Saccharomyces cerevisiae S288C: one gene and its partners. The gene in region 1 interacts genetically with each later gene. Each region holds a gene or a part of one and is shown on either strand. Other genes may lie near its edges.

The links. Genes that interact genetically often act in the same process or in processes that back each other up.
Region 2: mutations in YNR061C (region 1) and RTR2 together harm fitness more than expected from each alone (negative genetic interaction), as found in Saccharomyces cerevisiae (one large-scale study listed by BioGRID).
Region 3: mutations in YNR061C (region 1) and EHD3 together harm fitness more than expected from each alone (negative genetic interaction), as found in Saccharomyces cerevisiae (one large-scale study listed by BioGRID).

The regions. Positions count from the first base shown.
Region 1 is NC_001146.8:742,057-745,678, reverse strand, and holds YNR061C (uncharacterized protein), read left to right. Parts: upstream 1-2,138; coding exon 2,139-2,798; downstream 2,799-3,622. Other genes in the region: PUL3 (Pul3p), read left to right, coding at 336-1,319; FRE4 (ferric-chelate reductase), read right to left, coding at 3,569-3,622.
Region 2 is NC_001136.10:581,045-584,098, reverse strand, and holds RTR2 (putative protein-serine/threonine phosphatase), read left to right. Parts: upstream 1-1,600; coding exon 1,601-2,191; downstream 2,192-3,054. Other genes in the region: DOS2 (Dos2p), read right to left, coding at 1-386; OCA6 (protein-tyrosine-phosphatase), read left to right, coding at 634-1,308; RRG1 (Rrg1p), read right to left, coding at 2,315-3,054. UniProt on the Saccharomyces cerevisiae protein: Probable RNA polymerase II subunit B1 C-terminal domain (CTD) phosphatase that regulates RNA polymerase II transcription. May have functional redundancy with RTR1.
Region 3 is NC_001136.10:522,348-526,543, reverse strand, and holds EHD3 (mitochondrial 37S ribosomal protein mS47 EHD3), read left to right. Parts: upstream 1-1,830; coding exon 1,831-3,333; downstream 3,334-4,196. Other genes in the region: lysine--tRNA ligase KRS1, read right to left, coding at 1-1,104; 3-deoxy-7-phosphoheptulonate synthase ARO3, read right to left, coding at 3,616-4,196.

The DNA.
Region 1 (3,622 bases):
TACATCAAAGAAGTAAGTGTTAATGTAAATCTAAGATAATTTCAATGAACTAGTATGCTAACAATTTAGAGAACGGAGAAACCAATCCGGACAAATTCTTGTTCAGAATTCAAGCCATTTCTGCAGCAGTTCAAGTTTTTGTTTCATTCATTATTGGGGATATTGCTGCTTTTCTTGGGTCCATTAAATGGGTAATAGTGGGGCTTTACTTTTTATCCTTTGTGGGTAATTTTTTGTATTCATGCGGCGGTGCAGTGTCGCTAAACACCCTTCTCGGTGGGCGTATTATATGTGGTGCAGCATCTGCTTCTGGTGCTATAGTGTTCAGTTACATCATGTCAATTGCACAAGATAGGGGTATCGTTTTCAAGCTTCTATCAATTTATCGAGCAGCGGCTGGTATCTTCATGGCGTTGGCACAATTAATTGTCATATTTTTTGGATATTGCGATTTTAAAATTAAAGGGTATCGCATTGCCTCTTACAATGCACCGACATTTGCCTCCAGTTTCATAATTCTTGCAGTATGCCTTTTATTAGTTGTCGTTCTGGAAAATCCTGAGGTTAAAGTTACAAATTCGGAAAATAGCCTTTTCAGTGCTCTGAAACAATTTTTTAGAGTCGAAAGAAAAAAACTCATCTCCTGCTTGATTTTACTATGGAGCATGTTCCTATCGTCATTTATTATGAGCGAAGTAGTTTATTTTATGCCACTATTCCTGACGCTCCACGTTAACTGGGACACCAAGTTTCAAGGCATAGCGTTTATGGTCGCATCTATACTTGGTGTGACTGGAAGCTATTTCGCTCCAAAGTTAATAAACGTCGGGTGCTCCTGCGGCAGAGCCAAAGATGGCGGATTAGAAGAGTCAGATACAACTGGAAGTGAGACCGTTGAGGTAAAGAAAAAAGATTCGCTGTACAGCGGTCAAGTTTTTCTGTCCATCTTTGCATTGTTTGTTTCATTGCTGGGACAAGCTTTTATGATTGGAGCATCCGAAGCCTTGAAGCATAAATCAATGCCACCCACAAATTCTGGTATATTTTTTTCAGCTGGGATGTCGATTACATTGTTAGGGTACAACTTTTTGGCTTCGAGCATTCCAGCCCTTTTTTCCATGTACATCGACCCCAAACTCAAGGTCCAGTTGATGCCTTCAATTGGAGCAATCTCTGGGATTGGTAAACTGGTGGCACCGATTGTATTAGCAGCTCTTTATGGCACAAGATTGGGGCTTTCAATTGCGGTTGGATTTGGTATGATTTTGGTAGCTGTTTCAATTCCACCGCTTATTTGGCTCAGGAAAAAAAGGTGTTAGATTTCCTTAGACATATACTGGTCCAAATCCAGCTATATATCGGGTGCCATTGACGTATATTTTTTCGAAGAACTTGGACGACAAAAAGTCAGCCTCTTTTTTATGGCGTTCTATCAACAAATTTTACATTTGGAAATGATAGTGTATTATCTTTACCATTTCTATAGTGATATATCCGGACTAATCTTTTAGCGGCCATAAATAAATATTACTAATATTTAAAGTTTCCTTCTGATTTATTCTTCTATTATATTCAAACCAGTTGTGGAAAAGTGTGTGCCTCTTTTATATGGCACTTTATACTGAATGATGTAATCAGTTTGCATGGACGCCAAAGCTTGTATTTTAACCAAGGTTTTTTAGAGTTTGGCCGCTTCAAAGTTAAAGACGTTAGGCAATTCGCATAACCTTTTCTTTAATCTCAATATATTATTCTAATCTTATTCTGCAAATTGTCATTGGAATTCGCTTCCGATTTGCTGTACTGCTTGCTGAATAATATCTGCTCTTGCATTGGCAGGTGAGAAATGAATACTATCTTTTAAGGATGTTGGTTTATAATCTCTCGGAGACTAAAAACCAACTTCTCAAAATGATTTATGTATTTGCCCAAAGTTAAAATTGCGTGTTTCCAATTACGTATGCGATATGTAAAAAAATTAAAAAAGTGAATGAATAAGCGACTTTTCGAGTTGCTATTTTTTTCTTGGTTCAACAGAAGTAAAATATAATCAACCATAAATAGGAGAATACAGGCGGTGCTTACAGCTTGATATTTTGTTACCAAGTCAAGATCTATAATAATAACTCAATACATATATGTTAAAGTTAACAACAACATCCGTTACTTTCCACGTACTAAGATATTTCCAACTTGGCTTATCTGTAACTAACTTGTTGTTAGCTAGTTTTGCCATAATCACAAACTATAAAGTGGATCGAATCCTTAGATTGAGCTTAGCTGTTTCAATCATATCTTCAGTTTATTTTGGGATTGTGAGATTTTTGCCTGTTCTGTTAATATTCGTGATGGAAATTGTTCAGACCGTCCTGTGGTTTACCGCTTTCGTAACTCTAGCTTCAAAATTTGGTTCTATGTCCTGCTCAAGTATGCCACGGGGTATAAACTTTGATTATTCAGGTTCTTGTAAGATTGCTAAAATAGATATTTTACCAGAAGCCGTTTTATTCATACTATTTCTCGCTACCACATATGCTTCTTATATCACAGTCCTATCTCAAGCTAAGGAAAATGGGTCAAGCACAAGATCTGTTTTGAAGGCTTGTGTGAAGGCATTACGTGATACCGTGGACCGCTTGGAGACCAGTCTGGAAGAGAGTGAGCCTCTTTTAGATCTTGAAGTTCAGGAAGATGCGAGGACTGAAACCGAAAGCATTGAGGATTCAACTGATAGTGAGGATAATGCTAACATCGAACAAGAGAAAGTGATTGATGGTTCAATTGAGCATTCTTCATGATGAACCAAATGTCTTGTAGTGCATGCTGTTTCTGACTTTGCTTAATGGATTTTTTTAGTTCGACGATGTTCCGTATATTTTAGAGGCACACACTTTCACTTTTCCTATGTTGAGTAATGAAGGCATTTGAAGTTACGGAACCTTATAGGTGTCAGCACGCTGTCATTCCAGATAATTTTGTGTCTCCCTTACCTCCACATATGAATTTGGAATACCAATAATTACCTCTTAAAAGGTTTCAGAAGACGTTTACTATTTAATTCTTAGCTACACATCATATAGTTATTAATTCAATATATTACTTTTGGTACTGCATTCTAAAACACTAAAGTATAACCTCCGAACATTATATAGGTGTTTATTGAGTTATTTTTTGAAGAAATAGTCCACTAGAAATTGCTTGGGATGCGGGATTCCTTTTTCTCTTGGTCCTTACATTATACACCAATTTTATCTTTATAAGAAAATACAGGTAGTTAAATTAAGTACATGAACGCTGAAGATCGATTGGTTCATATTCTATCGGCAATTGGTGTGTTATACAATTCAGAGTTACTAAATATGAAGCTTCTGTCATCTTACGTATGATTTTTCTGCTTTTTAATACGATTATTTTTCTGAAAAAGTGTTATTTGAAACAACTTAAGCCTCAGTAGTTAGAATCAATCAACAAGAGTCCCCTAAAAAAGGCGCAAACCATCTACGTTAATGAAATTACAACAGTTAGAGGATATTATACATTGAGTGTTTACTTAAATATGAAAAATTGTTCACCAGGCTTGGTATTCCTCCAAGTATTCAATCATTCTTGATGGGTTTCTGAT
Region 2 (3,054 bases), on another chromosome or scaffold:
TTATCGAAGCTACTGAAGCCAGACCAAAAATTCTTAGTTTTCATTTTGCTCCAATATGACTGGGCTAGACTTTCCACGCTGTGAATATTCTCGTCTAGTTTCTTCAAATACTTTTGTGCAGTCTCTGTAGTTTCATTGCTAATTGGCAAGTTAATTTCAATTCCGTCATCTTTCTCGATTACTAACTTTTTGAATGCACTTGTAGTCTTTTCATATCGTTTATTGACTTCCTCTTCTAACTTTTGGAAGGCCTCATTTGTTTTGTCATCTCGGCTCTGAAGTTCGTTATTTTCAGTGTTTTCTGTTGATCCAGTTTCCTTGGTATGAGAGTTGCTTATTTTATCATCTTCGATACAAGCTACTTGTTCTTCATAAAAGAATTCCATTTTATCCTAAAACGTCGAAGCAATGGAGCTCACTAGCTGTACCCTTATGTTGTGTTCTTTTTTTGTTGCATGACTTCTGCTAAGTGCTTTTTATCATTAATCACCGCTATTTGATGTAAGGCCAAAAAAAATGCGAAAGAAAAAAAGAGACTCTGTTAAGAAGGAAAGGAGTACCAATATAAACTATGGGTTCACAATTGCTATGAATACCCAGTTCACACATCTAGAATAAGCTATATGTATCAAAATGACACTAGTGACTCCGTTACAATTTTCGACTGTACAGCCAAATTTATATAGAGGATCTTACCCACGAGAAATCAATCTCCCATTCCTGAGAACCCTTAGATTGAAATACATATTATCTTTGACACCAGAACCTTTGAGCACTGATCCTCTAATGGTAAAGTTTTGTGAAGAAAATAACATTAAGACAATTCATATAAAATGTCAAAGTGAAAGAAAGGCAGACAAGACCAAACCCAAGATTAAAAGGAAAAAGAAAACAGTTCCTATTGAATACGATGTTGTAGTACGATGCGTTAAATTTCTGATTGATAAAGGGCATTACCCCTGTTATATGCACTGTACGAATGGTGAATTGATAATATCTCTCGTAGTAGCATGTATGAGAAAGTTTTCATATTGGAGTACGGTATCCATACTAAATGAGTTTTTGGTGTATAATTCCAGCATCAATATTCATGAAAGAAATTTCATTGAAAACTTTAACTCTGAAATCGAAGTTGACGATCTGGATATAAAGGATAAAGTTCCCTGGATTACCGTGCGATATATTGCAAGGACAGCCACAGAATCAAAAGATGAGTTGCGTGTTGATGATGCTAATGCGTCTGAAAAAGTTGCAAGAGTAAGTAGCGTGTCAAATTCTTTGCCAAAACTAAAATTTCATAGTATGTAAAATTCAGGGATAAATTCATATAATATTTTGTAAAGACAGAAGCTTCAGGGTTAAGTCTTAGCCGGGCCCTCCAGCATTGATAATCATTTTTTTCAATATCAAATGCCATTGAAAAGTCCAACGAAAATTACATCGACTTTACAAAAGAGACGAGCCGGTCACATTCTAGTATTGGCGAAGATTGGAAGCCATTTATCAACAGCAAGGAGGCATTCTGGAAAAATTGCAGCATATTTAAGAAAAGTGATAGGTTTATTTTTATACTAGAAGGACAGGAGCAACGCAAGCCATAATGCAGATAATAACCACTACGTTCATTCAAAAAGTAATTTTAGGATCACACCAATTACATGAGCAATTATCTATAGTGGAAGCCCGAATGATTGAATCTGCCATAGTTTCAATGCTCACAGAATCATTTTGCGAAAATGAGCAGACATTAAAATACTTAGCACGGCTACTTTCACCGATGTCTTATATGGATGTTATTAATGCAAGAAGGGGAAAGAAAATATGTGGGTACCCGCTATGCTATAAGAGTGCGGCAGAAAATTCATCTGATGGCTTCTTTATCCACTCAATGTATTGTAATAATTATCACAGTAAATGTTCGTTGTATTTAATGAGACAGTTATCACAAACGCCTCTGCATGAAAGGCGAGGCGTGCATTTAACTAGTTACATTAATCTAGAGTTTGATGATATGTACTCGGTAAGCCTTTTAGAAGAATTAGTTGGAAGTGAGGTACCTATAGATACCGTCAAATCGCTGATAACGAGTTTCAAGGATCTTGAGTTTGATGATACCTACAAGAATGAGCCTTTACCATTGGATGTGTACTTTGGACAGTTGACTACTGATGAGGAAACCTGTATAGAATAGGAAGTATAATTAAATCGTCTTCATCAGGATCCTTATCGCGGTCATACGAGTGACTATTTACATAGAAATGGAAGTAACCAGTAAATTTTCTATTAAACTTTCTGATTCACGCAACTTTTGCACTTAAAAACCGTATTTCGCCAAAACACTTGGCAAGTCCCTCCCTTCTATAAAGAGTGTCACATATGGTAATGTTTCTTTGCTCATTTTTCTGAATAGTGTCAACCGTTTGGCGTACATTTCTTTTGACTTTTTATCAAAATATGCTAGTTGGCCACCGTTCTTTAAAAGCTTTTCCTTATATTTGTTAAAGTACTCCACTCTTTGAAAACTTTTGGAATGTAATTCGAACATTATTTCTCTCACGGGATCTACCCATTCTTTAACTTTCTGATATTGACTCGAAGGATTACATTTAGTAGACTTTGGGATATTTGCAGCGTATTCCAAGTATTTCGGTAAGTTTACTTTAATAATCTTTTTCGACTCTAGATATTCCTCCCAAATGGCCTCATGTAATGCCCAAGCAGCATTAATTTCGCAAAAATTGAGATTATCGATATTTTTCTGAGAATCCTTCCTTTCTTTTCGTATCAATATTCCCAGCTTTTTCGATTGTTGTCTGCCCTTGTTAATTGGTGACCGAACAAACCATATTTGATTCCTTCCTTCTTTTGTATATGACAGCCCAGCAGAAGGTGGGCCATTTTTCAATTTTTGCTGAATATGAAATAGTTTCAGGCACGCATGTTCGTTCAATGCTAATGGTAATAGGAGTTTGTGCTGATACGTTTTTGGTATGTATGCAGGTAAAAGGCCCAAATCTTGTTTTCGCTTAATGTAAGCACTTAGAACATGAAATC
Region 3 (4,196 bases), on another chromosome or scaffold:
GATCTCCTTGACCATTTCTGAAAACATCAATTCAGTCATATCCATCAAATCATAAACATCAGCGTAGGCTTGATAAAACTCACAAGTGGTGAATTCTGGATTATGTGTCATATCGATACCTTCATTTCTGAATTGTCTACCAATTTCGTAAACACGATCCAAACCACCGACAACCAATTGTTTCAAGAACAATTCTGGAGCAATTCTCATGTACATGTCCATATCAAGGTCATTATGGTGGGTAATAAATGGCTTAGCGGTAGCACCACCAGCAATAACGTTCATCATTGGAGTTTCTACTTCAATAAACTTTCTTTGGTCCAAAAATCTTCTGATGTAACGGATAATTTCAGAACGGGTAATAAAACGGTTTCTGGCGTCTTTGTTCATGATCAAATCCAAATAACGCTTTCTGTATCTGGTTTCCTGGTCTTTGAAACCAAAGTGGTCGGCAGGTAACATGTGCAAACATGGTGTCAATAATTGCACTCTGCTAACGAAGACGGAAACTTCACCTTCACCACCTTTCTTTGGTTGAGTTCTTCCGACGTAACCCTCGACACCAACGATATCACCCCTTTTCAAAAGGTCGTGATCCTTTTCGTAAGAGTCTGGGTCGCAGTAGTCCTGCAATTGGGACATCAATTGAACTTCAACACCATCACCGTGAAGAACATAGAATTTCAATTTGGAGCCAGATTCTCTTTTGGCATGAATTCTACCAGCAATTGAAACCTTCTCTTCAGGTAAGGTTTCACCTTTTTTCAAATGCGCATATTTGGCCAAGAACTCAGGATTGGATATAGAAACGTGAAACTTGTGTGGGTATGGATTTGGTTCGTGAGTCTTTCTCAATTCTTGAATTTGGCGAGATCTTGTTTCGAAATATTGCGATGGATCCAGGTCAGCGAACAAATCTGTTTTTTTTTTGGAAGCCGGTTTTGGTTGAGCGGCAGCCTTTTTGGCGGCCTTTTTAGCTTCGACTTGTCTTTGCTTGATACGCTTCTTCAATTCAGACTTGGAGACCATTTCCCCGGTAGCTTCGTCGAGATGTAGGTTAGCAACACCTTCAGCGGCGGCTTTGACATTATCTTGTTGAGACATTATGCTATTGAAGTTTATTACGGATTTCTCGGAGGAAGGACAGAGCAATAAATCAATGTATGTAAGATAATTATACTTTTCTTTCTAAACAAAAAAGTGGCTGTATATATAACTTCGAAGTTCATTAAGAGTCATTTCATCATTCATCGATAATTCAAGCTAAAAAAAAAAGAAAAAAAAAAAGAAAAGCGCCGAAAAAAATTCAAATGGCAAATATTTTCACAACACCCATACACTACACCAAAAATATTCCTACATCACTAATGCCATTAGCATTCCATAAACTACTAACCAACAACTAGAACAGAACTTGATCTATTGTGCTCATGGGTCGGAGAAGCTCGCCTTATCCGCATCGTTTCCTGGGTTAATAGAAAGGTTTTTTGAATTCTTAAACATGTAATATCTCAAAACTAACACTTAAACATTATGCCGAAGAGAACAGTCCCTAACCCATTTGTAGTAAGCAGCCTTACAGGATTCCAAGGATTCAGCCAGCCAAACTGACCCATTGCGTTTTCTACCAATCTTCTCTTGTTTAGTAACACAATCCGGGTCACCCTTCGGAACTTCGGAATTGGAGAGGCAAGTGCAAAGAAAAGTGTTAAACCTCGGAGCCAAATGATTGATGAGGTAGCCGAGAAGATAAGAGCAGCTTGTTTCCTGCGCCTGTGTACGGGAATCCTCATTTATATAATACTTGGTTCTGTTTAGCCACCACAAATAATGCTCAGAAATACGCTAAAATGTGCCCAATTGTCGTCTAAATACGGATTTAAAACTACCACACGTACATTCATGACTACTCAACCCCAGCTAAATGTCACCGACGCACCACCTGTGCTATTTACCGTTCAAGATACAGCTAGAGTTATCACGCTAAATAGGCCCAAAAAGCTCAATGCTTTGAACGCCGAAATGTCAGAATCCATGTTCAAGACTTTGAACGAGTATGCAAAGAGCGATACTACAAACTTAGTCATTTTAAAGTCATCCAACCGACCACGTTCGTTCTGTGCTGGTGGTGATGTAGCTACTGTGGCAATATTCAATTTTAACAAAGAATTTGCCAAGTCCATCAAATTTTTTACTGATGAATATTCTTTGAATTTTCAAATAGCAACTTACTTGAAACCAATTGTTACCTTCATGGACGGTATCACCATGGGTGGCGGCGTTGGTCTATCCATTCACACGCCCTTTAGAATTGCTACAGAAAACACCAAATGGGCCATGCCCGAGATGGACATTGGTTTTTTTCCAGATGTAGGCTCAACTTTTGCTCTCCCTAGAATCGTGACATTGGCTAACTCAAACTCACAAATGGCCCTGTATCTATGTCTTACAGGAGAAGTAGTCACAGGAGCAGACGCTTATATGCTCGGCTTAGCGTCTCATTACGTCAGTAGTGAAAATTTAGATGCTTTGCAGAAAAGATTAGGTGAAATTAGCCCCCCTTTTAATAACGATCCACAATCTGCATACTTCTTCGGGATGGTTAACGAATCCATCGACGAATTCGTATCACCATTACCAAAAGATTATGTTTTCAAGTATTCTAACGAGAAATTAAACGTTATTGAAGCCTGTTTTAACTTGTCTAAAAATGGTACTATTGAAGACATAATGAATAACTTACGTCAATATGAAGGTTCTGCGGAAGGTAAGGCTTTCGCACAAGAAATCAAAACGAAATTGTTAACCAAGTCACCATCCTCTCTTCAAATCGCCTTGAGATTGGTGCAAGAGAATTCCAGAGATCACATAGAATCTGCTATCAAAAGAGACTTATACACAGCAGCTAACATGTGCATGAACCAGGACTCTTTGGTGGAATTCTCTGAAGCCACAAAGCATAAACTTATTGATAAACAAAGGGTCCCGTATCCATGGACAAAGAAGGAACAGTTATTTGTATCTCAGTTGACATCTATCACATCTCCTAAACCATCGCTACCAATGTCATTACTAAGAAATACCTCGAATGTTACTTGGACTCAATATCCCTACCATTCTAAATACCAATTGCCTACAGAACAGGAAATCGCTGCGTATATTGAAAAGAGAACGAATGATGACACTGGCGCCAAAGTTACCGAAAGAGAAGTACTAAATCACTTTGCCAATGTGATTCCTTCTAGAAGAGGGAAACTGGGTATCCAATCGCTATGTAAAATTGTTTGTGAAAGAAAATGTGAAGAAGTTAACGATGGCTTAAGATGGAAATAAAACCTGAAATAGCAGCCCCGTGGCTCGTAAAGAATTTTGCCAACACTTCTATGCATGTAAATAATAAAAGTAAAACATAACGCTATATTTGTATATGGATGTTTATTTAATGATACATAGAAAACTGTCATTTTCTTTCTCTTTTCTTATAAGTATTTTTTTTTATAAAAGGCAAAAAAAAAAAAGTTTGAATGTAATAAATATGGTTCAGAAAGAAATTACAATAAATCAAAAGTTTTGAGTATCATTCAAGATTATTTGCATTTTTCCCTCATTTACAGGCTATTTTTTCAAGGCCTTTCTTCTGTTTCTAACACCTTCTGCCAATAGCTCCAATACCTGTTCGGTGGACTCCCAGCCAATACAAGCATCCGTAACAGAACAACCATACTTCAATCCCTCTCTGCCACCTTCTTTGGGAATATCTTGTCTACCTTCATTTATGTTGGACTCAATCATAACACCACAGAGACTATTCTCACCCTCCGTCAGCTGGTCATAAATACATTTGGCAACCTTTGGTTGGTTCTTGAAATCTTTATTACTGTTGCCGTGGGAACAATCGATCATAATTCTTTTCTGGGAATCATCAGTCAAACCGGCCTTTTCTAACTGTTTCTTAGTATTTTGAACACTTTCTTTGTCAAAGTTAGTACCGTTCTTACCACCTCTCAAGATCAGGAAGGTATCCTTGTTACCTTCAGTGCCCACGATAGCAGTGACACCTGGCTTTGTGACAGAAAGGAAGTAATGTTCATGTGCAGCGGCTCTCATAGCGTCGATGGCGACTTGCAAACCACCATCAGTACCGTTCTTAAATCCAATAGGGAAAGATAGACCGGATGCTAATTCTCTGTGCAGTT